Linked DNA regions of Kluyveromyces lactis. The protein of the gene in region 3 interacts with the protein of the main gene of each other region in a pairwise test. Links are inferred from orthologs where the notes say so. Each region holds a gene or a part of one and is shown on either strand. Other genes may lie near its edges.

What was found. The genes of interacting proteins can lie anywhere in the genome.
Region 1: the proteins of KLLA0_F17545g (region 3) and BUD6 interact in a protein complementation assay, tested with the Saccharomyces cerevisiae proteins (3 studies listed by BioGRID). The link is inferred for Kluyveromyces lactis from reciprocal best matches to the Saccharomyces cerevisiae genes EPO1 and BUD6.
Region 2: the proteins of KLLA0_F17545g (region 3) and SHS1 interact in binary tests that used the Saccharomyces cerevisiae proteins (3 or more experiments, as listed by UniProt). The link is inferred for Kluyveromyces lactis from reciprocal best matches to the Saccharomyces cerevisiae genes EPO1 and SHS1.

What each region holds. Positions count from the first base shown.
Region 1 is NC_006039.1:1,621,759-1,628,387, forward strand, and holds BUD6 (formin-mediated actin nucleation enhancer), read left to right. Parts: upstream 1-988; coding exon 989-3,082; downstream 3,083-6,629. Other genes in the region: MMS22 (Mms22p), read right to left, coding at 1-691; EST2 (telomerase reverse transcriptase), read right to left, coding at 3,107-5,692; TAD3 (Tad3p), read left to right, coding at 5,975-6,629.
Region 2 is NC_006042.1:1,938,122-1,944,891, forward strand, and holds SHS1 (septin SHS1), read left to right. Parts: upstream 1-1,567; coding exon 1,568-3,223; downstream 3,224-6,770. Other genes in the region: GCR2 (Gcr2p), read right to left, coding at 1-715; KLLA0_F20834g (uncharacterized protein), read right to left, coding at 3,895-5,745. UniProt on the Saccharomyces cerevisiae protein: Septins are GTPases involved in cytokinesis that assemble early in the cell cycle as a patch at the incipient bud site and form a ring approximately 15 minutes before bud emergence, which transforms into an hour-glass shaped collar of cortical filaments that spans both sides of the mother-bud neck.
Region 3 is NC_006042.1:1,607,398-1,616,281, forward strand, and holds KLLA0_F17545g (uncharacterized protein), read right to left. Parts: upstream 5,223-8,884; coding exon 2,442-5,222; downstream 1-2,441. Other genes in the region: STO1 (Sto1p), read right to left, coding at 1-1,626; PKR1 (Pkr1p), read right to left, coding at 5,944-6,324; NCW1 (Ncw1p), read right to left, coding at 6,826-7,362; KLLA0_F17611g (uncharacterized protein), read right to left, coding at 8,801-8,884.

The DNA of each region.
Region 1 (6,629 bases), on a different chromosome or scaffold from region 3:
TATTACTTTCAACTGTATTGTTATCAAGTGCTTTCTTCCACGCCATTTTGGGTAATACACCTTTGTATCCTGTTCTGATATTGACTTGCCTTCCTCTAAAAACAACGTTATCATCATAGGATAAACTGGATCTATCAAACTGATTCGAGTCACTTTCCGAATGACACTCGTCACGAATTTCATCGCTGTCTAGTTCAGCATTACCATATACCTCATCATCATCATCATCATCTGAAATATGGAAATGGTGATGCCTTCGAAGCCTTGTTGACGCAATAGTCGAGTGTTCTTGCTGTGAAAGGCCGCCCTTCACAGGACTCGAATTGAGCACGCCCCCATTGTCCGTATTAACAGTAATATCTTGCCGGGAACCACTCGGCAGATTGATATGATCTGCTAGAGATTCGAAATTAGATACATCGTACCCTTGCAATAACTGCCGATGCCGTATTCTATCCAAACTATACGGCATCTTCTGGATTGCTTTACGCTTTCTCAATGCACGTCTTATACTATTAGAGTAAACTCCAATATCAGGAGGTGTCTGTGCTACGTTATCGAGACTGCCCGGAATGACGCGTACCTGGTATTCGTCATCGAAGATTGGAAATACATTTGGTTCCGAATGCAGAGGTATTACGATCTCTTCATCACTAGCCTCCGAATTGGGGACTACAGAGTCCTGATTCATCCCACAGAAACCACGCTATATGTCATACGCGGTAACACGTCTCTGTTGGTTGCTTAGCTTCTGAAATGGTAAGTTTCCATACTTTCCTGTTTCATTATCTCGGCCTAACTTCAGGAAATTACGTTTCTTGATATTTATCAACAAAAGATTTATGCAAACCAAATCAAACCTAAAGCTTTTTGATCTAGTAATGCTTTGAAGAAACATACCGTTTAAAAAGTGTACGTTGGATTTCCTAGCTAGTAGTTAGGTGTGTGGAAGCAGTAGGGTGAGGTACGTAAGGTGTGTCTGATAAAGATGGAAACACCACCACCAATTTCTAAATCAGCATCATCTGTGGAAACTAGTGTGACGAAACTATTGATTTCAACTAAACAACTATTACAAATTCTGACGCAATGGTCCAAGGGCAAAGTTACCGAGCGTAATGTTTCCGATGTGTATGTTCAATTGGGTAATGATTTCAAGTTAGTCAGTAGACATTTTACCCATGCTAGAATTGATATTTCGGATCTTGGCGATGTGCCAAAAGACCTTCGAAGAATATTGGAGGTGGCATTGAGAGAGACTGCATCTGAGGAAACGTTGAATAAATACCTACCGCAGATCAGAGATATTATAGTTAAACTCTTGGAGAAACTTAAGGTTAAACAGGCGATGATAAAACTGAGCAGGAATGAAGATGCTTTGAAATATCAGCATACTCCTCAAAGATCTTCCGTTTCATCCGTAGTCAGCGCAACGACATCTTTGGCTGGCGCGGGACCGACATCTACTTCAGCTCATATTGAAACAAAACAGATACCTACGTTAGAAGTTCCCAAGGGTTCTGAAAGCGATGCGTTAACTCAATTGAAAAAGGGAAATAATCTGCAAAGAAGAGCCTCGAAGAGGTTTTCAGCGTATCATATGGCGAAATTAGCCAACCAAACAGCTTCAGATCCATCGAATTCCCCAACGTCTAAAAATTTAGCAGTTCCAGCCGCTGCTGCAGCGGCAGCAGCGGCCAATGTTTCTGATACAGAAAGCATTAAAATGGAAAGACAGCCTTCTCGAATCTCTTCTGCTTCATCCGTAGATTATCATCCCATGACAGGAGCACCAGAACCAAAAGGTGATAACTCAAGCATAGATGAAATTGTTGTCTTTTTGAAGATCGGTGAGAAGGTGAAACGATGTGTAACTAGTTCTCACCTCTCTTTCAACAAGCTTAGACTTTTATTTGTTGAGAAATTTGCATATTCCCCAGGAGGTGATGTATTCCCTGACATATATGTGAAGGAACCCAAATACGAGGCATTTTACGAACTTGAAGAGAGTCACCTACATGGTATAATAGATGGGAGCGTATTCCAATTACAGGTACAATCATCGTCTCTAGATGAACAGTTCCGCCAACTTCAAGATGGTTTATTAGAAAAGCAAGATACAATTTTTCAAAATTTGAAAGAGATTATCCAAAATAGTACTCACGTATCGTCACCAGATTATTCAAGTGGTCCAAAATCCTCAGATTCTGCAACAGTTATACATGAGGATCATCGTAAAGAAGTTGCTCATATTAGGCACGAAATTACCGTTTTAAAACAGATACATAGCGACCAAAAGAGATCGCTTCAAAATACTATAAACGCTATCGTGGAAAAACTACAGAAATTCCAGAGCCTTTCAATAACTACAGGAAAGTCAGCTAATCGCGATTATATGGAAAAGTCCCAGTCGAAGTTATCCGAAGTTTCTGATAATCTTTTGAGTAAAGTTGACGATCTTCAAGATGTCATTGAGGCATTACGTAAAGATGTGGCCATTAGAGGTGCGAGAACACCCAAGAAGAAGATTGAAAATGTATCGTCTGAATTAGACTCCGCTAAGAAGGATTTGGATCAAATGAGAAATTATATAGATGTCGAAAAGCCAAATTGGAAAACTATTTGGGAAGCGGAATTAGATAGGGTGTGTGAAGAGCAACAGTTCATGACATTGCAAGAAGATCTCGTATTTGATTTACAAGAAGACTTGAATAAGGTTATGGAGACATTTGATTTGGTTAAATTGTGCTGCGAACAACAGGAAAAGGCCCCAAAGAAGAATAAGGGAAACCCCATTCTTCCGATAGCCAAGCCAGGCACATATAATATGATCCGCGATCAAGTCTTGACTGAAGTTCAGAATCTCAACCCAGATCATGACAGTAGAGTGGAAGCCATTAAAAAGGCAGAAAAACTAAGAAACAGAGAGAAAGAGTACAAGGAAAATGAAGCCTTTGAAGATGAGTTGGGCAATTTCGTTGAGAAAGGTAACTTCAAAAAGGCCGGTGGCATTGAGGAGATAGAACGCCTAAGAAAACAAAAAGACGAAGAAAATCTGCGTGTTAATTTTGGTCTGATATAGGTACAATAATTTTAAGTAATAGCATTAAAACTCTATTAATAGTTTCAAATCGCTGACATTTGTCAAAATGTCTGCAAATGCGTTCTTCCTTAATTTTAATTGTTCAAGGAAAACTGACAACACCAGTTCTTTTGACGCGACGGACTTTTCCATCGAGAACATATTAGCTGAAGAGAGGTTAAGATCAATTCGCTGAAAAATGTTGAAAACAAATTGTTTGAAAGATCTTCTGCTGCTTTTCTTCCTATTAAAAAGGACAATGAACGATTGAATTACATTTAACGCAACTTCTCTCAGGAACCTTGCAGCCGTTTCCCAAGAATTTAAGCGCTCGTCCAGCATATTATAAGATAGTCTCATCTCAAAGATCCAGAGTAATTTATTATACAGTTGCTTAGATGATCCCAAAACTGTTCCTAGGACATTATACGATGAGCGGTCTTTCCAAACTTCTAGGGTTCTTAGATTTAACTGCAGTGCACAAAAAGGTACATTTGTTGATGTTTCAGATTCTGATGAAGTAACCAAGACTTTTTGTGGGTTTATATAAGTATTGAAAGATTTGAATCCTGTTTGAGCCAGATTATTAAGCCGCTCGATGTATTTCTTGGAAGTTGAAACTATTAGAAAATCATCCACCAGCCGTATTATCATCGGATCTGAATCATTTTCATCAGTAAACTCGGTGTAGAATTCAAGTAGGTCGTCATACAATATATCAACAAGAACGGAAGATAAGGGAGTTCCTTGAAAGAGTCCATCTTTTCTTAAGTAACACTTGCCTCTGTAAAAGATACTGGTTTTGAAGAGTTCCATTTTAACTACTGTTAAAACGTCTTCTTTTGATAAGACAGTAGTTTTGACTGAATCAATTACTAAATCATTTTCCTGGAATTGTATGTCTCCATTTACAGCATGAAGCCTTTTCAGACGAGTGGAAGCAGTTGTCAGTATATCTTGAGATCTAATAAAAAACTGCTGCTCTTCACATATCCGAGCCTCTACCAATTTCATTACTTTCTGAACCGGAATTGAATCATAGCAGGATTGAATGTCAAACTTTAAAAGATAGAGATTCGGTATTTTACCATGTTTTAAAAGTAGCCTTTGCTTATAACTTAATACAATCTTGGGTATTTCCAAAGGAGAGAATGCTTTTGTAAACTTGGTATTTCGTCTCATCCTCAATCTTTCCAGTATAATCTTGGTGGGCTTCAGAGCGTTCGTAACGTAATCATTAAACTCGTTAAACTCTTGTATATTGACTCCTTTACACGGCACCGCTATTATTCTGAAATCGAGGCCTGATTTTTTTGGTATTAAACGAAGATTTCTGTGATTGAACTTGGATTCTGTGAAAGATCTGTGCTGGAAACAATATTTATTCTCAAGCAAATACCTCCTAAAGTAAGATTTCAAAAAAGGTTGTGACATGGTTTTCCAAGTATCATGACGAATATAAACTATATCGACAGTCGACGATAGTTCTGTCACATAGAAAAATGTAGATAGTAATTTTGGGACGTAACAGGAAAGGATCCAAAAAAACAGTTTATAAAGAAGCGCTTGTCGATTTTTCACATCATAATATGGAATCTTTTGAGTTTGTTCACCAGCTGGAAGCCGCCTTGTTTCTAGCCATTTGACATCTTTCACACGCAATCCTTTACATAATTCATCAAATAGTATCTTTGAATGGAGCGGTTTTTTGACAAGTATTGCAATCGCTTTTGATAGAACGCTATAGTTTGAATTTGATCCTAACAGGTCCAATGGGAACGTTTTTCTAACACATACAATGAGCAGTTTGATGACACTTTTGGGTGATGAATAGAAAGTATCTGATTTGGGGCATATATTATTGATGATGTGTCTATATGAAAACCTCTCGTGAGCTCGAATGAGCTCATATAAAATGGGTTTTAGATTATTCAATGCAAAGTTTAGAGAACGAGGTGTCTTACTGCTCTCTGATATTTTCGGAAAAATCTCAGCTATTAACAGCCCCTGATCAGTCTCAATGATATTCTTGTAATCTTGCGGTCTTATCTTATGATATAGAGCAGAGTTCCAATCTATCGTTAGCTTAGTATTTCTTTCCCTCCTATACGACCGATCTAGCCATGCAGGTGGCACCTGAGGCGCGTTAGCGGGGGTTCCAATTATCTGCCTGAAGTAATGGCCGGTGTTGAAATATACGGAATAGTTGATTAACAAATTCACAAAATTGTCAGTGCCAACCAGCTGATGGAACAATCTCCAGCTATTACATTTCAATACACTTACGCTTATGTTCGATGAACGGCAAAACAGTTTGGTCATGACATCTGAATTCTTTCCCAGCTGGTAACCATAAGTCAGTATATTATTCGTAAAATTCTTGTGCAAAAGGTAGAGAATGCATGTTTCTATAGTTTCACAGTGATACGATGAGCTGAAAGTAGAAGATATTTCAATTTCAGGAGGTACGCAATGTTTGCTGTTAACTTGTGCGAAACAGCTGAGTAACAGATTGGATACCCCATTAGAGTCAGCATTGATCAGAATATCCGATTTTCTGAGGGTTTCATAGCACTCTAAAGATTCCAAATATTCGACAAGAATTTTCATCTAAACCAATTGATATAGGTCATTATTCGAAGTCACCTTAGTCATCTCGATGATCAATTTAAGGTTCTTATTAATTATTCTCAGTGTTCATCTTTCTTACGAGCATGATCTAAACTGGTAAATAGTGTTTCGTAGCCTATAATTTCTGGATATGAATTTTTCAATGATAGAAATGTAAGATGCGATGCGATGAGATGATATACTAATATGTAAAGGGTAAAGGAAATGGATGCTTAATTATAGCTCTAGATTTACTAGTTATTCACATGAAAAGCTAACAGTATGGTTAAGAAACATCTGAACCCCACTAAGATCGATTTTATAAAATGCATCGTCGAAGATTGCCTCTGGCAAATTCGAGATACCAAAAACGTTGATGTGCCTGATCTAGTTGAGGCTTGGTCTATCGAAGTACGTCCAAGGGAAAGTAAGTCAGTGATACCATTCGTACGAGGTATTCAGGATAATGACCCCGTTTCATTCCTTCATGTGAAACGGATCAAGAAGCTTGATAGCGACACACTACGAGTACTTATCGGCTCCAAAGAGTACATACCGGATAGATCAACTTTTGACAATATGCTGAAAGGAGTCGTTTTCCAGTATGACAATGTGAAAGACGATAACAAAGTACCGAAGGTCGGTCCATCGACTAAAAGCTTAATGTTGAAGTGGAGTGAACAGTATTGGCCGTTAATTTGGAGAGGAAATCCTAATGACCAGATATTAAACGACTATATATTTGACATGACAGAGATTCGGTCATTGTTAACCAAGATAGCAGAAGAGTCTCGAGCAATCCGAGATTCGGATAGCATGCAACTTCCAATAGTATCGGCATTCGTTAATCCAAAATCTGGTAAAATTATAATATCAAAGGATTATAGACATAGTGGATCTCCCCTCGATCACAGTGTTATGGTCGGAATAAATGAGG
Region 2 (6,770 bases), about 330 kb from region 3:
TCATTGCTCTGGGCCAATCAAACTGGCTATTGGGACTTTGGTTGGCATTTGCCTGGACGTTAGAATAGTAATCCTGATCTTGTACTCTACTCACTTGTTCCAGTTTATTATCCACCTGTGATAATGAAAAGTCCGGTGAAGTGATTGTATTTACAACCGATTTACGTCTGGGGGCAAGCACGGGCGATTCCCTAGCAGACGCAGTGGTACTTTTCCCTGGCCTCCTCAACGGTGTTATTAACCCCGTTGTCTTGTCGTAGACTTTGTCGATGTTGAAAGATAATACCTGCCATAGAGGATCGTCCACGTTATCCCGTATCTTCCAGTTGTTCTCATCCAACTTCAAAAAATACCGATTGTACGGGCTCACGTCATAACTTAGCAATATCTCTTTCAATATCTGTTGAAATCGCTGAAACAATTCGATATTTGATTTGGGTACGTTCGATTGTTCATCTAAGGGTACGATTGTCACTAGAGCATCGTAAAGTTGTGAGAGACTTTGGAAATATTGCATATGACGTTCGTCCAAGGGTTTCAGCGATATAGGAGATTGCTGATTCGGACTAATCGTGGAATTCAATAGCTCGGGAAGCTCCAAGACTTCTCCGTTGGATATCAATTGGTAACCCTTGATCAAAAATACGTCGAGCTTGATCTGATGATGCATGATGCCTGTCGGACTACTATGTGAAGTGCTCCCGATATCAGACATGGCTCTTCCAGTATGTGTACGTAGCAGGGGAGGGCCGATCTTTGAAGTCCGTAACAAGCAGTTCAAAGACCTTAAGTATGCTGCCGCTTCCGCAGATTTTCTCGCTTACTGTGTATTTCTTTCTCTCTTTCTCTCTATCTTTCGTTTCGTTAAGGTGCAACATTTCCACATTGCATCACCTTATGTTCTAGCAAGAACTAAAAGCGACAAAATTGCAAAACAAAGACGCATCTCATTGAACACATAGAGCCCTTCTGCAAGGGCTAAAATCCGAAGCCTTTCATATGTAGACCAAGGCAGTACCAAAGCTAGCCGGACCTAGATCGAAGATCGTTATCAACTTATAACGTAATCCACTGACGGACATATACATTCACATCACTGAGACAGAAATATAAGTCACGTGAAGAAGTGGCGCCATATATATGTATATATGCCTTAGTTCCCCAATACATAGACTAGTTACGATATGTGGTTCATCGAACTGTAACCATTTGATGTTCCCATGTCACTGGTAACTTTTGTCCTTGCCTTAGGTATCTTTGAGTGTCTCATTTCCCATGGCTATGTTCGAGCCTTTTAATCGGTGAAAAGTTTCGAAACGGTTAATATCACGTAAAAGATATCAATTCCATATTTAAATTTAGACGAGAATGTAATTTGACTGAAACAACAACGTCTTTTGATAAAAAAAGTGTATTCTATACGTTGCAGAGCTACATTAATCAAGTGAACCATTGAACGAGACGAGTTTCAATCAATTGGATAGGAATCATTGTACTTTGGCGATTCTATTTAGAATATAATTGGAAGTGAAAAGTGAAGCCGTTTGATCTTGGAAGCAATAAAAAGATGTCCGCTAGTCCTGTATCTCAGGTATTCTCACCAAGCAACAATGGGGTCAGTGTGTTCCGTAGAAAGAAGGAGAAGAGAGGTATTACTTTCTCGATGATGTTGGTTGGTGCTTCTGGTACTGGTAAGACCACTTTCGCTAACAATTTATTGGAATCTACCATTTTCCCTCATAGATATCAACAAGATGTTCCAGCTAGCACGAATAACGAGAATGTTAAGATTATCCAACCAACTAAGGTTGTCACGTTCAATTCGATGAACGGTATTCCCAGCTACATGTCGGCATTTGATCCAGCCTCGCCGTTTTTGGAACCAGGTATCACTGTGACGTCTACTGCCCTGGAGATCACGACGAAATCTAGTGAGGATATCGATAGCGCTACCCCTGAAAAGATCAATTTCTTTCTCACCGACACCCTGGGACTGGGTGAAAACTTAAATAATGGGATCTGTTTCGATGAGATTGCTTCATATTTGGAGCAACAATTTGATTCGGTACTCGCTGAGGAGACCAGAATCAAGAGAAATCCAAGGTTCCAGGATACAAGAGTTCATGTCGCGTTATACTTTATTGAACCCACGGGACATGGGTTACGTGAATTGGATGTTGAAATTATGAAGAGACTATCCCGCTACACAAATGTTCTACCAATTGTCGCTAGAGCAGATTCGTTCACACCTGATGAATTGACTAGGTTCAAGAAGAGAATTATGGAAGACATTGATAGATTTAACGTTCCTATCTACAAATTCGAAGTTGACGAAAATGAGGATGATCTAGAAACAATTGAAGAGAACAAGGCATTAGCGAGACTTCAGCCGTTTGCTATTATCTGCGCCGACCAACGCGATAATGCTACCGGTAAATACTATCGTGAGTATCCATGGGGTAAAATTGACATCGATAATGAAAACATTTCGGACTTGAAATTGTTGAAAAGGGTTCTCTTCGGGTCCCATTTGCAAGAGTTTAAGGACACGACACAAAATCTGTTGTATGAAAACTACCGTGCTGAGAAATTGGCGTCTGTGCCAGCCTGGGACATTGAAAACAACGAAGTTATAGATACTTCTATCAATGACGAAAACAATGAGGGTAATTCTTCAGGGTTGATGAAAGGGTTGACTAGAAACAGTACAGCTCCATCCTTGTCAAATTTCGCCTCTCTAATAAATACAGGAAAGTTTAAGTCTCAACAATCACTTGCAATTCCACCTCAATCTGAAACCCCATCTACACCACGTCTAACCGGGGTAGATGAAGGAGATGAGTCTCGCGCTTCAATCTCTGCCAGTTCACAGAAATCTACTCCTGCCAATATTCAAACTTCTCCAGAAAGAACAAAGTTACGGAATATTTCCGAAAATATCCCATACATGCTTCAGCACGAGCGCATAGTAGCAAGGAAACAAAAGCTTGAAGAATTGGAGGCACAATCTGCCAAAGAGTTACAAAAGAGAATTCAAGAACTTGAAAGAAAGGCTATTGAATTGAAGATGAAGGAAAAGCTACTAAGACAAAACTCACATAGTCAATCTCAAGAATCTATCCAGACTAATACAACTAAACAAAATTCAACTTCTGGAGGTGCTTACATTAAGAAAGAGGAAACCTATAACGATTTAGCTTCGATAATCAGCAAAAAAGAATGAATTCAGTCTTGATATCTTTCTTTGGCATTTTTGTAAGTCGAAGTGTTTGGTTCCTGAAACGATTTCATATGTAATTTAAACAATATTGATTATTTTGTATATTGCAAACGGTCACGTCTAGATTGATCTGCTACCTGTTTCCAAATTTGATGAGTTTAAGATGGTGATGTAAAAATCAGAAAAATATACGTACTGTTACAGGTATATATATATATATAATATAATAATGAGTTAAGGTATTTTCGTGCCACTTATCAATAAATGGAATTTATCTGTTCAGATGACATAGTATTATGAGATAAAAAAGATTGGTGAAAAATTTATGTTCATCCAGTGCTTCAAGATAAAAAATAGCTAGTGTAACTGGAGAGAACTAAGAAAACCGAAAAATGCAAAATAATGTTCCCGATGGCAATTAAAAACATCAAGAAACAACATTCATTCAGCGACGATGAGAAAAGGCACTGGGGGAAATAATAGGAAAAGAGATTTAACCGAATTGAAAAATGGTTGCAAAATAACATTAAAGAGTTGGAAACAAGACATAATTGATCAATAAAGACTTCAAGTGCGAACATAAGTCATTTTAACAACGCAAAAAAGGGTTATGACGACGTAAATATGAAGTGTAAGAAAAAGGCAATGGGAAGATGATCTTTTTATAATATTTTTCATTTGGAGAATGCATTTTCGTAGGAGTAATTGGTAGTAGATGACTTTAGATCATTAGTGACTCCATTTGCAAGAGTGGCAATGCTACTATTGTTACTACCAGTGCTTCCATTATTATTGTTGCTTGAACTTGGATTGCCGCTGATAGTTTTACCATTTTGAGCATTATTTGAGTTGCTAGTTGGTTGGCCAGAACCACTGCTTCCACTCCTTCTGCTGTTTGGACCACGAACACCAAGTGGGTTTTTAGAGAAACTCAATCTAATTCCACCTTTGGTGTTGTGTGCGCCAACTGGTCTTGGTAATTGACTACCATATAATTCGGCTAGAGCTCTTGTAGCATGTGCGACGTCTTCAAACTCAACAAAGCACATAGGACCATGCCCACTGTTATTGTTGTTCTTGTTTCTGAATGATAACCTCTTGAATCCTTTTTGACCTCCAAATAGTTGTCGTAGTTCTTGTTCGGTGGCATCTGGAGGTAGGTTACCCACATAAAGTGTATTGCAAGGTGGATTTTGATCGGCTGGATTGGCTGGAGGAGGAACTCTTGCTAACAACGATAAGTCCACCTGAGAAATTCCAGGAGTATTCTGTAAAACACTTGCCACACTTCTGGTGATAGGTTGTGACTGAGTAGAGTTGTTAGCGTTAACATTAGTTGCAGATGAAGAATTACTAATGTTGGTTCTGCTGCCAGATTTATGAGGAGTATGCGACGTTGATGAAGTTGGTGTTACAGGTTTAGAAGACACAGAAGCTGAGGACCTACCGTTCATCTGTTGGGCGACACCGACCTGTGAAGATGGATCAGAGTTTGGCGGTAAATTTGTCGCACTTGAATTGGCCTGTTGAGGGCCAGAGAAAACGGAACTGCTTTGCTTTCTAGCAGCACCATTCTTGGATGCAGACCAATCTACAACTGCATTTTGTTGTTGTTGATTGTACGTGGTATTTACCATGTTGTTCACAGTAGAGAGTGAAGGGTTTGATCCCCAAATTGTGTCATTAATGCCATCTCCTTCCATTAACAAGAATGATTTACCAGCATCGATGTTTTGCAGTGGAGTTTGAGCAGACGTTTGTGCAGGTGGAATATGTGGATTTTCTGCGCTGAAGGGATCAGAAAATGAGAATCTAGACCGTTGTCCTAGCAGACTGGGCCTTTTCCGACTTGATGATTGGGGAGGCGATGTCAACGTTGGAGCAACGTTTGAGGATACGCTTCCGGATGATGGTATTTGAAATGAGTTTGTGTTCAGTTGTGGCTGCAACTGAGGTGAGTTTGTCTGGAAAAACAGCTGTTGATTAGTTAATTCGTCGATGACCTCCACCGCCACCTTGAATGGATATGCTGGACCGAATATTTGGGATTTGATATTAAGAATAGAGGCATATTGGCATGCCAAATGCTGAGATTCAAATTTTGCCACCACGTACGGTTGGTTATCTTCATGAGGTATCACATCAATGGATAGTACACCATGAGCCAATGAGAAAAGGGCATAAGCCTCCCTCAAGTTTATGTCGGTAGGAATATTGCGCAATATCAATAGATAACTACCAATGGATGGGGTTTGTGGTTGATTTCCAGTGTTAATGGATAATGTGTTCAGTACCGATGAGAGGTTTAGTGGTGAACCACTGTGGTCCGAGTGGTGGCGAGGTATTGTCGAACCATTTGCATGTGTTGGCGATGCGTTGCTGGGATTAACTGCTGATAACTGTTCAGAGCTAGTACTGAATCCACGATGCAGCTGATAAGTTGTATCGAAGGAAGGATGGATCATCATGGGGTTTTCGTTGATGTTATTGGAGTTTGGATTTGAGTTGATATTGCTTATTGGCATATGAATGATGGCCTCGTCGTAAGAATGATCAATGTGTGGAAATGTGCACTAAAGTAACACTAATGCCAAAAAAAGACGATAAATGAGATGAAGAGCGAAGATTCACTTTTTGTCAAACGCTCAAGAAACTCAATTAAATAGCAGAACAGAATAATCACCAAAGAAAACAATGTTTTGCTTTCGACAAAATGCTGAATAATTGTTGAACTGTGTGGTGTCTCTCTATCGACTGGAGTTCTTCTCTAAGGTTAGAATATTGGTGGATGAGTTCACTGTTTTTTTAACCAATCACAAAAGGATGGGAAGCAGAAAATAGAAGAATAAACTGCTATTCTCCAGGTACGTGAACGAGTGAAGTACGCAACTCCTATCTCACTGTTACAAAATACAATTGATAATGTTCTGAAACAGGACTGTACTCCTATGATTCACAAGAAGAATGAGACTTTTTTCCTTCTTTTCCCTCTTCTCTTTTGTTTCTTGAAAGTTTTATGTAACCCTTTTGTTCTTTAGGAAGTAATTAATTTTTTTTTATCAAAAAAAAAATTCCTTTAAAAGATATCGATCGAGATGGGTTATTTCCAAGAAAATAGTATGTTTCCAAAAACCAAAAAAAACAAAGATGAATTTTAAGAAAAGGAAACGAAATGATAAAATAGGTATAACAAAGAAAACAGAAATGAAATCTTACGCTCAATGAGTTTTTTGGACTTAGGCCTCTAGAATTGATTGATCTTGGTCAATTAATGGCCTTTCGTTTCTTCCTGTTACACTGTCGCCAAAAAATCCTTGTAAAGACAGTTTTCTGTCGGAACACGCTATTTCGTAATGCTGTTATTTTTCCTGTTTTTCTCTAATTCAGCGACTTTAGTGCCCTGTAAGTCGATGCTCTGAATTGGTGTCTCTGTCACTCTGCTCGAGTTTGCTCGTGTCGGTGATAGTAAGTATACGGAAATATAAACAACAAATAACTGATGAGCTTCAACGGTGACCGGTGTTTGCAGCTATGTTTGTGTAAGCAGCAA
Region 3 (8,884 bases):
TTTTTGGAATTCATCAGTAACACTTTCTTCAACATCAGCAGAATTGGACGTTAATCTTAATTCCTTTCTGATCAAATTCTTAATGAATATCATTCTTGGATTGTAAATAGTTCTATTCCACTGAATGGAATCAACTTCCCACTCATTCCATTTCCATGAGAAATTGAAGTTACTCATTTGAATTGAGAACCAATCTAGGAACCTAGCTTTTAACTCGAAGTCTAGTTTATCCAAATTGTTATAGAAATATCTGAAAGCTCTACCGAAAACAGGAGCAATAGCTTTTGGCGAGTTCTTGCAAATTTCTACCAAAAGAGAATAGAAATAGGCAAAAGATTGAGAAACAGTAGGTAATTTAAAAGTTAATTCTAAGATGGCACCAACGGCTAAATCTTCGATTTTGAAAGTACTTCTTGCTGGGTTTTCTTCAAATTGTTCCAAGAGTTGGGCGACAGGAAGGCCCGGTTCAGTGAAAATACCCGCAGTGAAGAAAAGATCAATCGTTACTAATTGTCTCGCAACTTCAAGTCTATTGAACTCCATACTTTCGATTATATCAAGAAGAATATCTTGAAATAACATACCTGTGAAGGTGGTAGTTGGTATCACGGTAGAAAATGGACCCACACTGTTCGGTAAGTAAACCTCGAATGAATATCTTGGAGTTTTCCATAGACTATCGACTGAACCGAAGCCTTTGTCTAAACCTGAAAATGGAATAATTTGTTCTAAAGTTGGTAGATTCAACGGCTCATTAAAAGAATGAATTGCTATTTGTTGGGTCAATAAGGTGTCATAATTCAGGAAAAGCTCGCCTAGTTGTTGCATATCGTTTGCCAATGCGTTCTTGACATTTGGCAAGACAGCAGTAACCCAATGAACTGGTTCATATGGTGGGTTCTTATTGTATGCTTTGAGCAATTGAATATCAGTATCTTTAATGTTATATTCGTTTTCGACAAAAGTGAGTAACTCCTCAACTAAAGTTTTTAACGATTCACGATTATCCGAGTTGAAGTAGAACAAATATGGAACGTTCAACAAGGTGTTGGTATAGATGGCTTCAGAAAGTGGGGATCTTTTCTCCGTGGAATTGTTTAAATCGACGGTAAACTGCAATAATTTCTTGTACAAGTCAAGCAAATCATCTGGTACCACCATTGGCGATAGAATGGAGATAAATCTGAGTACTAACTTAATTTTATCCCATGGTCCAATATCATGAGATTTGGTTTGGTAGTCGGGGTCATGACTTGAATTAAGTAACTCTTGAATTTGGTCAAAGAAATAATTCAAAATACTTTTACCAATTTCTGGTTTAGCTGAATTTAGCACCATGGTTAAAAGAGCAATACCTGGTTGCTTATGAGGTTGTTCCAAGATAACTGCTCTGAAAGTTTTCAAAAGTGCGTTGTTGAAATACTCGTCATTACCGAATTCATGAACAATGGCCTCACTTAGGAACTTGATATCTTCTGGAAAAGCCTTGGCCGATTCACCCATGGTCCTGATATCAGGCATCATGTCCTTACAAAGCATGACAACGGGTGGCAGCCTTTGCCTTTTGGCAAAATGTGGCCTCGCTTCACGATAACCACTCTCTTCTTCATAATCTACAAGAATCATTGTGTTTCAGAAACAGTTGTTAGTAATTATATGCTTTTCCTTGGAAAACGTTAATGTAAGTCTCAGATATATATCTGATACTATTGCTTTCTCTCTGAGTTCTAAACCAAAGTGTCAACCAACCGACTACTTTTAACGAAACTTCTTCGATATTATTCAGAGTAAATCATACCGAAAACTTGAAGTATTTATACCGATTGTCGATGGGATGTCTCTCTAGTCTAGATGTGTGTTTTGTGGCAATCTTGGAACCGTCTGTCATCTGTCTCTCTTTGCTGACGTCGCTGTCAGTTGTACTAAGGGAAAACTTAAATCTGATATAACAATACGTCAGAGATGGATAGAACCTTCAAAAAACAATGCAAAACTCTAACGTCTTGAATGGTGACATAAATTAAACATACCAAAACCTCTTTTTGACATCTCTCGGGTACTTGATGGCGTATTGTTGGATATAATACTGATATCAGTTGGCAAAATCTTGATTGTAACGTTATGAATTCGTGTTTTCATATATTTTAATTTTTTTTCAATTTTCATTTTGAATTCTTGTTATGGAGACGACCAGACAATCAATGCCATTCGATACTTAGGCCAACAGGTACATAGTTGAAATTGTTAAAGCTTACGAATGTCAGGGTTTCACAGCCTGTAGATTACCATAATTAGATAACAATGTGTTTTCAACGTTTTTTAACATATATATGTATATTTCCCAAATTATATAGGTATATGCTTGACTGGAAAAGAAATCGCAGAAATAACGAGACCTTCAAAATCGGAACGAACCATACATGGATTCTTTTCATTTTGCTTCAAGAATCATGTACTTGCTTCTGCAACTGTTCTATCAGTAGATCTTTGGACTGCAGTTGCGTCTTCAGCTCATTTATTTGAAGGGCGAGTTCGTTAGGAGATGGCTTTATACCATGTTGGTATAATAAATTCTGTTCTTCTGCAATGAAACGTTTGAGCCTTTCTTCGTTCAAATTTTGAATCAACTCAACAATCTTTGACGATTTTTTCCTTAATTCCGTTTCGAAATCCAGTAGAGAAAGAGCCTGAGGTGACTCTGGTTCCTTCGGATTCTTTGATTCTAATTCACTTTCTAATCTACCTTCCCTTGCGATAGACTCGGCTAATTCCGTGGAAACCAATTGTAGCTCTTGCATCAACATCATATTTTGTTTCAAAATATTCAAATACTCTTCAGTGATCAACAGGGGTTGTTTGGGATCCTTTTCAGAAGCAAAAGATGGCTTATATGGCAACGCGGAAATAGGTTCAGCCTTCTGTTTTACATATTCTTTCTCAAGACAAGGCACTTCCTGTATCTCTGTGCTTTCACCAATAATCATCGACTTACGAATTTGCAAAGTTGATCTGTCAAATGTCTTTTCCTTATTACTATATTGGTCGTGGTGATTACCAGCAGATGACGCGGAAAAAAGAGAATGATATGATATTCTACGTTTATCGCTGGATGCACCCGATTTCGCCCTGAAAGTATCATTTAACTGGATTTCGGATCCTTCATCTACTGCCATCGAACTCCTGCTGCTTCTAGCGGACGAAGGTACAGTAGTGAGCGGTCTTTGATCGCCACTCTTCGTCCTTTTGATCTTCATCAAAAAGTTCTTCGCTTTCTGGAAACTGCTGCCTGATTTCTTCAAGCCTTTTTCACCAGAACATGCGATATAGGAATCATGTTTTGATTGTAGTACTTCGTTAGTATTACTATTCCCACTGTCGACCGCCGCATGGGCTTTTGATACAATTGATTCAGTTCTATTGACGTTGTCGCCAAAGTTTCGACTGGAAGAGTTGTCCGAGATTTCAGGATTTAATATTGGTGATAGATCCACGGGAATATTTTGTATCAAGGCGGTGGATGGCCTGAGATTTATGTCATCATTCAAAGAATCTTGCTGGTTGCTTTTCGTTTCCGAGGAATCCACTAGGTCGTATTCCTTTTCCGTTTTTTCCTCCTCGATCTGCAACACTTGTCTTGCGGGTTCACTTAACGTTAATATATTCAATTTCACCAATGAATCAGAATCATATTGCTCATCGCTATGTGAATGATCCTTATTCCCGCTGTAGGTTTGTTGATCTTCTTCTTCCTCGTTAAAGCTAGGAAGAGCCTTGTCTTTTTCAAAGTCCTCATTATCATTCGACAAAGTGGCATGTAGTTGGTATTTCACCGGTGATCTTGGCAGTGATGGTATCTGATTTTGTTCATCGAATGATGCGTTCGAGGGAGTTGTCGGAGAACTTTGTTCAGAAACCCTACCAGAAATGACGCTATTCACACTGGCATATGAAGAGGATGAGCCCGATGCCGCCTTATTCACCAGCTGCTGTGGTTGTGGCGGAGGGGCTAATGAGCTTGTTGCTTGTCTTTCATTGAATACATTATCCTGCGATACATTTTGTTTTGGTTGATAAAATGGTTGCGGATACGATTGAGTTTGCAGGGACATGGCTCTTGGACCAGAGTTTGGACCATATTGGGAGCTACCAGTAACAGGTGGACCTCTTGCCGGCACTGGTCCATTAACTTGACCAGGAAAACCCATGTTACGGGATCCTGTTGGTGACGCGGCATACGGACCTTGATAACCGTTTCTAAACTGTGAATTTCCGTTCATTTGAGTTGGTGGACGTCTGTCAGCAGTTAACGACATTGTGCGTGGGTCATTTGGAGGACCTTGTTGGGGAGGATACCCTGGTCTACCAGCCATCGGCGAAGCCCCCCCTCCCATCAAAGAGTTGAATCTGCTACCGTTTGGAGGCCTAGGGATTCTTGATTGCTGAGGGCCTGCTGGACCCATCATTGTTCCCGGGCCAGAAACACCAGGCCTTACCATAGGACGTTGATGATAATTTTGCAAGGACATTGTTCTAGGACCACCTGGAACTGAGGCACTGAACTGCGCTTGCTGCTGCTGCTGCTTCGCAAGACTGTTAAATGCCATTTTCTTTTGATTCATCATAAGTTTTCTATATTCTATATTGTTCATTGAGTTTGTGTTTCCGGAAGTCACGATGGTCGGTATTATTGGAGAGGTATCATCTAGATGTCCACCGTAACCGTATGCGTGCCCACCATTGTTTCTCATGGAAGAAATATCATTGAATGTAAGGAAAGAGGAATCATGATCCGAAAAGTCTGTATTATCGTCATCCTCATTAGCTTTTTCGTCATATTGACTGTGTCTCTTTTGATTGAGTTTCTTGTATTTACCCTTGAAGAAATTAGAGAAGGAAGCAGTAGAAGAACTCATGGATGATTTCCTACTACTGTCTCCTGGGTAATCAAAATGTGGTCTTGGTTGCATCTGCAGAGATTGTTGTCGAGGCTGTTGCATGTAATTATATGACGAAGGGTTGTAATTGGACTCGTACTGCTGGGCTTGTAACGGAACTACAGGTGGGGCCATGGGGCCTGTATTTCCCTTCTGCTTGTTTATCTGCTGCTCCTTAGTAATATCAATATTCCCTATATCGCTGTGAAGTAACTGGTTCCGCAGCTGGGCCTTGGAAGACATGCCCGCTCCACGTCGTTGATCAAGCGCAGTAACACCGGCATCCATATTCCACGATCAGAAAAGGTTAGAAATAAAGCACAACCTACAAGAAACGAAAAGATGGCTAGTTGTAAAATGAGCTGCACTTACGTATAGAAAAGTTCCTTTAACAATGACAAACAAACAATCTAAGGACTTACCTCTAAGTTGTTATCAAAAGTCCTGATGTACCAAAGAAGCGTTCCAAAATCGGTAGGGAATAAGTCAATTACACTCGTACTGTGGATTGGTTCCTCTGGATTATAAATTCTGCCAGAACCTAGGCTAAATGACTGTACTAGAAAGAGAATAGATAAAAGGAAATACAACCTATTAATAGTGACTAAGTCCAAAACTCAAACTGATTCCTAAATTGTTTGAACAGACCTAAGATTCATTTACTTTCCGTTCATATTTTTTTTTTTTTCTCAAAACGAAATCTGAATGCCATAGAAGTTCCGAGCGAACATGAAATGTATGGATTATGCATGAAACAATAACGAAGAGTGAAAAAGGAAACGGAAGGCAGCTATTTAGGATGTGCCTTTACACAACGTTGTATATAATAGATCGTAGTAATCTGACGAAATAATGGCTTCTGCAACCTTTGTATTTGAATTAAATTTTATATGGTTCCCAAATGTTACAAGTCTATGCAGTGGTTATTGCGTTTAAAAATGATTTTACTTACTGTCCAATGTAGTCTAATCAGAAAGTTGCTCAGGTGAGAGAATGGTTTATCACCAGCTTAAGCTCTTCTTGATTTTGTTTTCCTTTTTTTAGGTGTAGATGATGGTTTAGGATCAGGTTTCGCAACACCCTCTAGATTTATCTCTTCAGAGGGCTTGGAAGGCTCAGTCTTATCAGTCTTTTTAGATTCAGCTGTTTGTAGATCTTCGTTGGTAACAAGCTTTGTGTTTTGTAATTCGTAGATGAACCACGTCACGGTGATCCATAGTAGAGTGGCGATAATCGTTAATGCGATGAAATGGATATTTTTGGTTAAATAGATCTGCGATCCCAACACGCAAAGCAATAGTGCAAACGAGATATGAGTAGCAATGATCAATTGAGGCGATGTTCCTGGTTGGAAAATGCTTTCCCACAGTGCAACAACAAAGTTAGTCATTCTTGAGTGTCTCAGGTGAATTTCGTTTTTTATAGTGGTTGGCAACGGAGGATTATAATATGCTGTACTAGAAATCGATGATGAGCCTGGAGTAGAAATCAGCAAGGTATAGCCAGAATGCAAGTGAACAAGCTTGTAAGTATGAAATGACGACTTCCTATTCTGATCGAGCCGGGTGTATTATGTTATGTCACTGGCAAACGTATGTATATGTATAGAAGAATTTTACTTTTAAAACTTTAATATAGAGATTTTAAGATACAGATTATGTATGTCAAACTTATAATTTACAGACCGATAACAGAGGAATAATGAAGTTAAAGATAAAATGGAATAGAAAAGGGACCACATCAGAGTACTATTGGAGAAACTGATGATTAGGGTGTCCGATGCATGGATGAATAGTCAAGTATGATCTAGGATCATGTTGGACATGATGACATTTGTATTGAAAAAGATGGGAAAATAAAGTGACAGTCTGTGTTTTTCATCGCTGTTCGATTAGATACCAGCGCCGAAGATGAAAGAACCAGCCATCATCAAAGCGAATAGGATACTGTACTTAGAGTTGATTGGGTTAGCAACCATACCTGGAGCAGCATTGTCAGTGGCAGTGCTGTTATCACCTGTTACTGCAGCAGTAGAAGAACCGGTAGCAGAAGCAGAAGAATCGGAAGTAATGAATCCTGTAGATGTGGAGCCAGTTTCACCAGAGCCAGTAGCACTAGAGGTACCAGAAGCATCAGAAGCACCAGATTCACCGGAGGCAGTTGCACTAGAAGTGCCAGAAGCACCAGTGGCATCGGAAGCAGAAGCATCGGAAGCAGAAGCATCGGAAGCAGAAGCATCGGAGGCACCGGAAGCGTCAGAGCCAGTAGAGACAGAGGAAACGACACCAGTAGATTCAGCACCAGAGCTCGTTTCAATGGTACTGGAACCACCGTTTCCAACTAAGCCAACAGCAGAGGAGGCAGATGAGGAAACAGAGGAGGCAGCGACGGCTTGTGCTTGTACTAGAGAGATTGAGGCAAAAGACATTATTGTGTTGTTATATTAATTTGGTGGCTAGTGTGAATGAAACTATTGATCTTGTATATTGCAGCTGTTAGGAGAGAGAACATATAATAATGAATATACGTATAAGCCGAGTTTAGATGAGAAATTGTGATCTTACCAGATAACAAACGCTCCCTTTATATATTAGATTCATTCAGCATCACAAGAAGCTGTAATCGCTTATGGCTTATTACCAAGTCCAGGCGTATTGAACTTTAAATTGCATGCTGAACTGCCTTGCTTCGAGAAATACTGAATCTGGAATTTCACTTACTACTATAGGTAAGAATTGAAAGACTTATGAAGTAAGATTCTCTCACCAACACACGTTCGAAGCATCGCCAACTAGCCAAAAAAACACAAAAATAGCTAGAAGAATAATAAAAGCTAAATATAGAACAGCCTCTGTTTCAAACAAAGGTAATTTCTTCAAATTCTTGTTTAGAATGTATTCCCAAACTGCTGAACCTAAAGAAGCTCAGACATTATTCAAGCACGAAATGCCAAAATTAAAAAAAAAAAAAATGATACCAAGCGGTTTAGCCTCTTCTCCACGTATTGCTGCCGCATGTGTCTCGAGATTCTAAATTACATGCTTGCTTCACCGGTTATGGGACAATGAACCGAATGAGATCGCTAGATCTGTAAGTACCACCAGAGTTAAAAGCAAATGATTACTTAAGTCTCGATCTGGCCAAATCTGGAAATTCAAATACGAAAGGAATCTCTGGATCGCAGTACGATCCGGAAAAAAAAAGGACACGAGAGTAGGAGAACGGACGGACTAGATTGGGCCAATCGATCCAGGGGAGCTCCGCCCCGAAACAAAATTAAACCAAGCCAAGCAAGCGTTCATTATCTTACGTGCTTTTCTCACATGACCTTAAAATCGAAAGCAACCTTAAAACCTTAAAGAGCTTCTACTAATAGAAGGAACCTAAAATACGAAAATATTGCATTTCAAGACATCCGAAGACGTAAGAAAGGAAAATAAAAAAGTGGAGGAAGGATCCATTAGACTGGAGCTAGTGTAATTAGAACTAGAACAGGACATAAATAGAAGTTGGAAATATGACAGTGGAAAGGGTACGTAATACAAAGTCCGGTTTCACACTAATAATGAGAAATCAGTATTGGATCTGAGATCGAAGCAAGCTTTTATGCTAATCGGGGGATATTGGACTAGCACCGCCAATTAAGGATGCCAGGTAAGACAGCGGACTCTTGAAGTTCTCGAAATTTTCTTTCACGAGCGAGAATCACCTATTGTCTCAAATTATGCATATCATTATTATAGTATATATGTTGTTCTTTTGAGTTACATTAAGTTACATTATTTTCACCACTAGTGATCGATTGAATTAGAATGGAGGGATGAGTAGTGGGTAAACGAGTGAAAAACCTATCAAAGAAGGTTCAATTACAATAGTAGACTTGAAACGAACAGTAGTGCTGACATGGCAAATCTTGGTCTCCAGTGATGGCCTGCATTTCCTGATTGTGT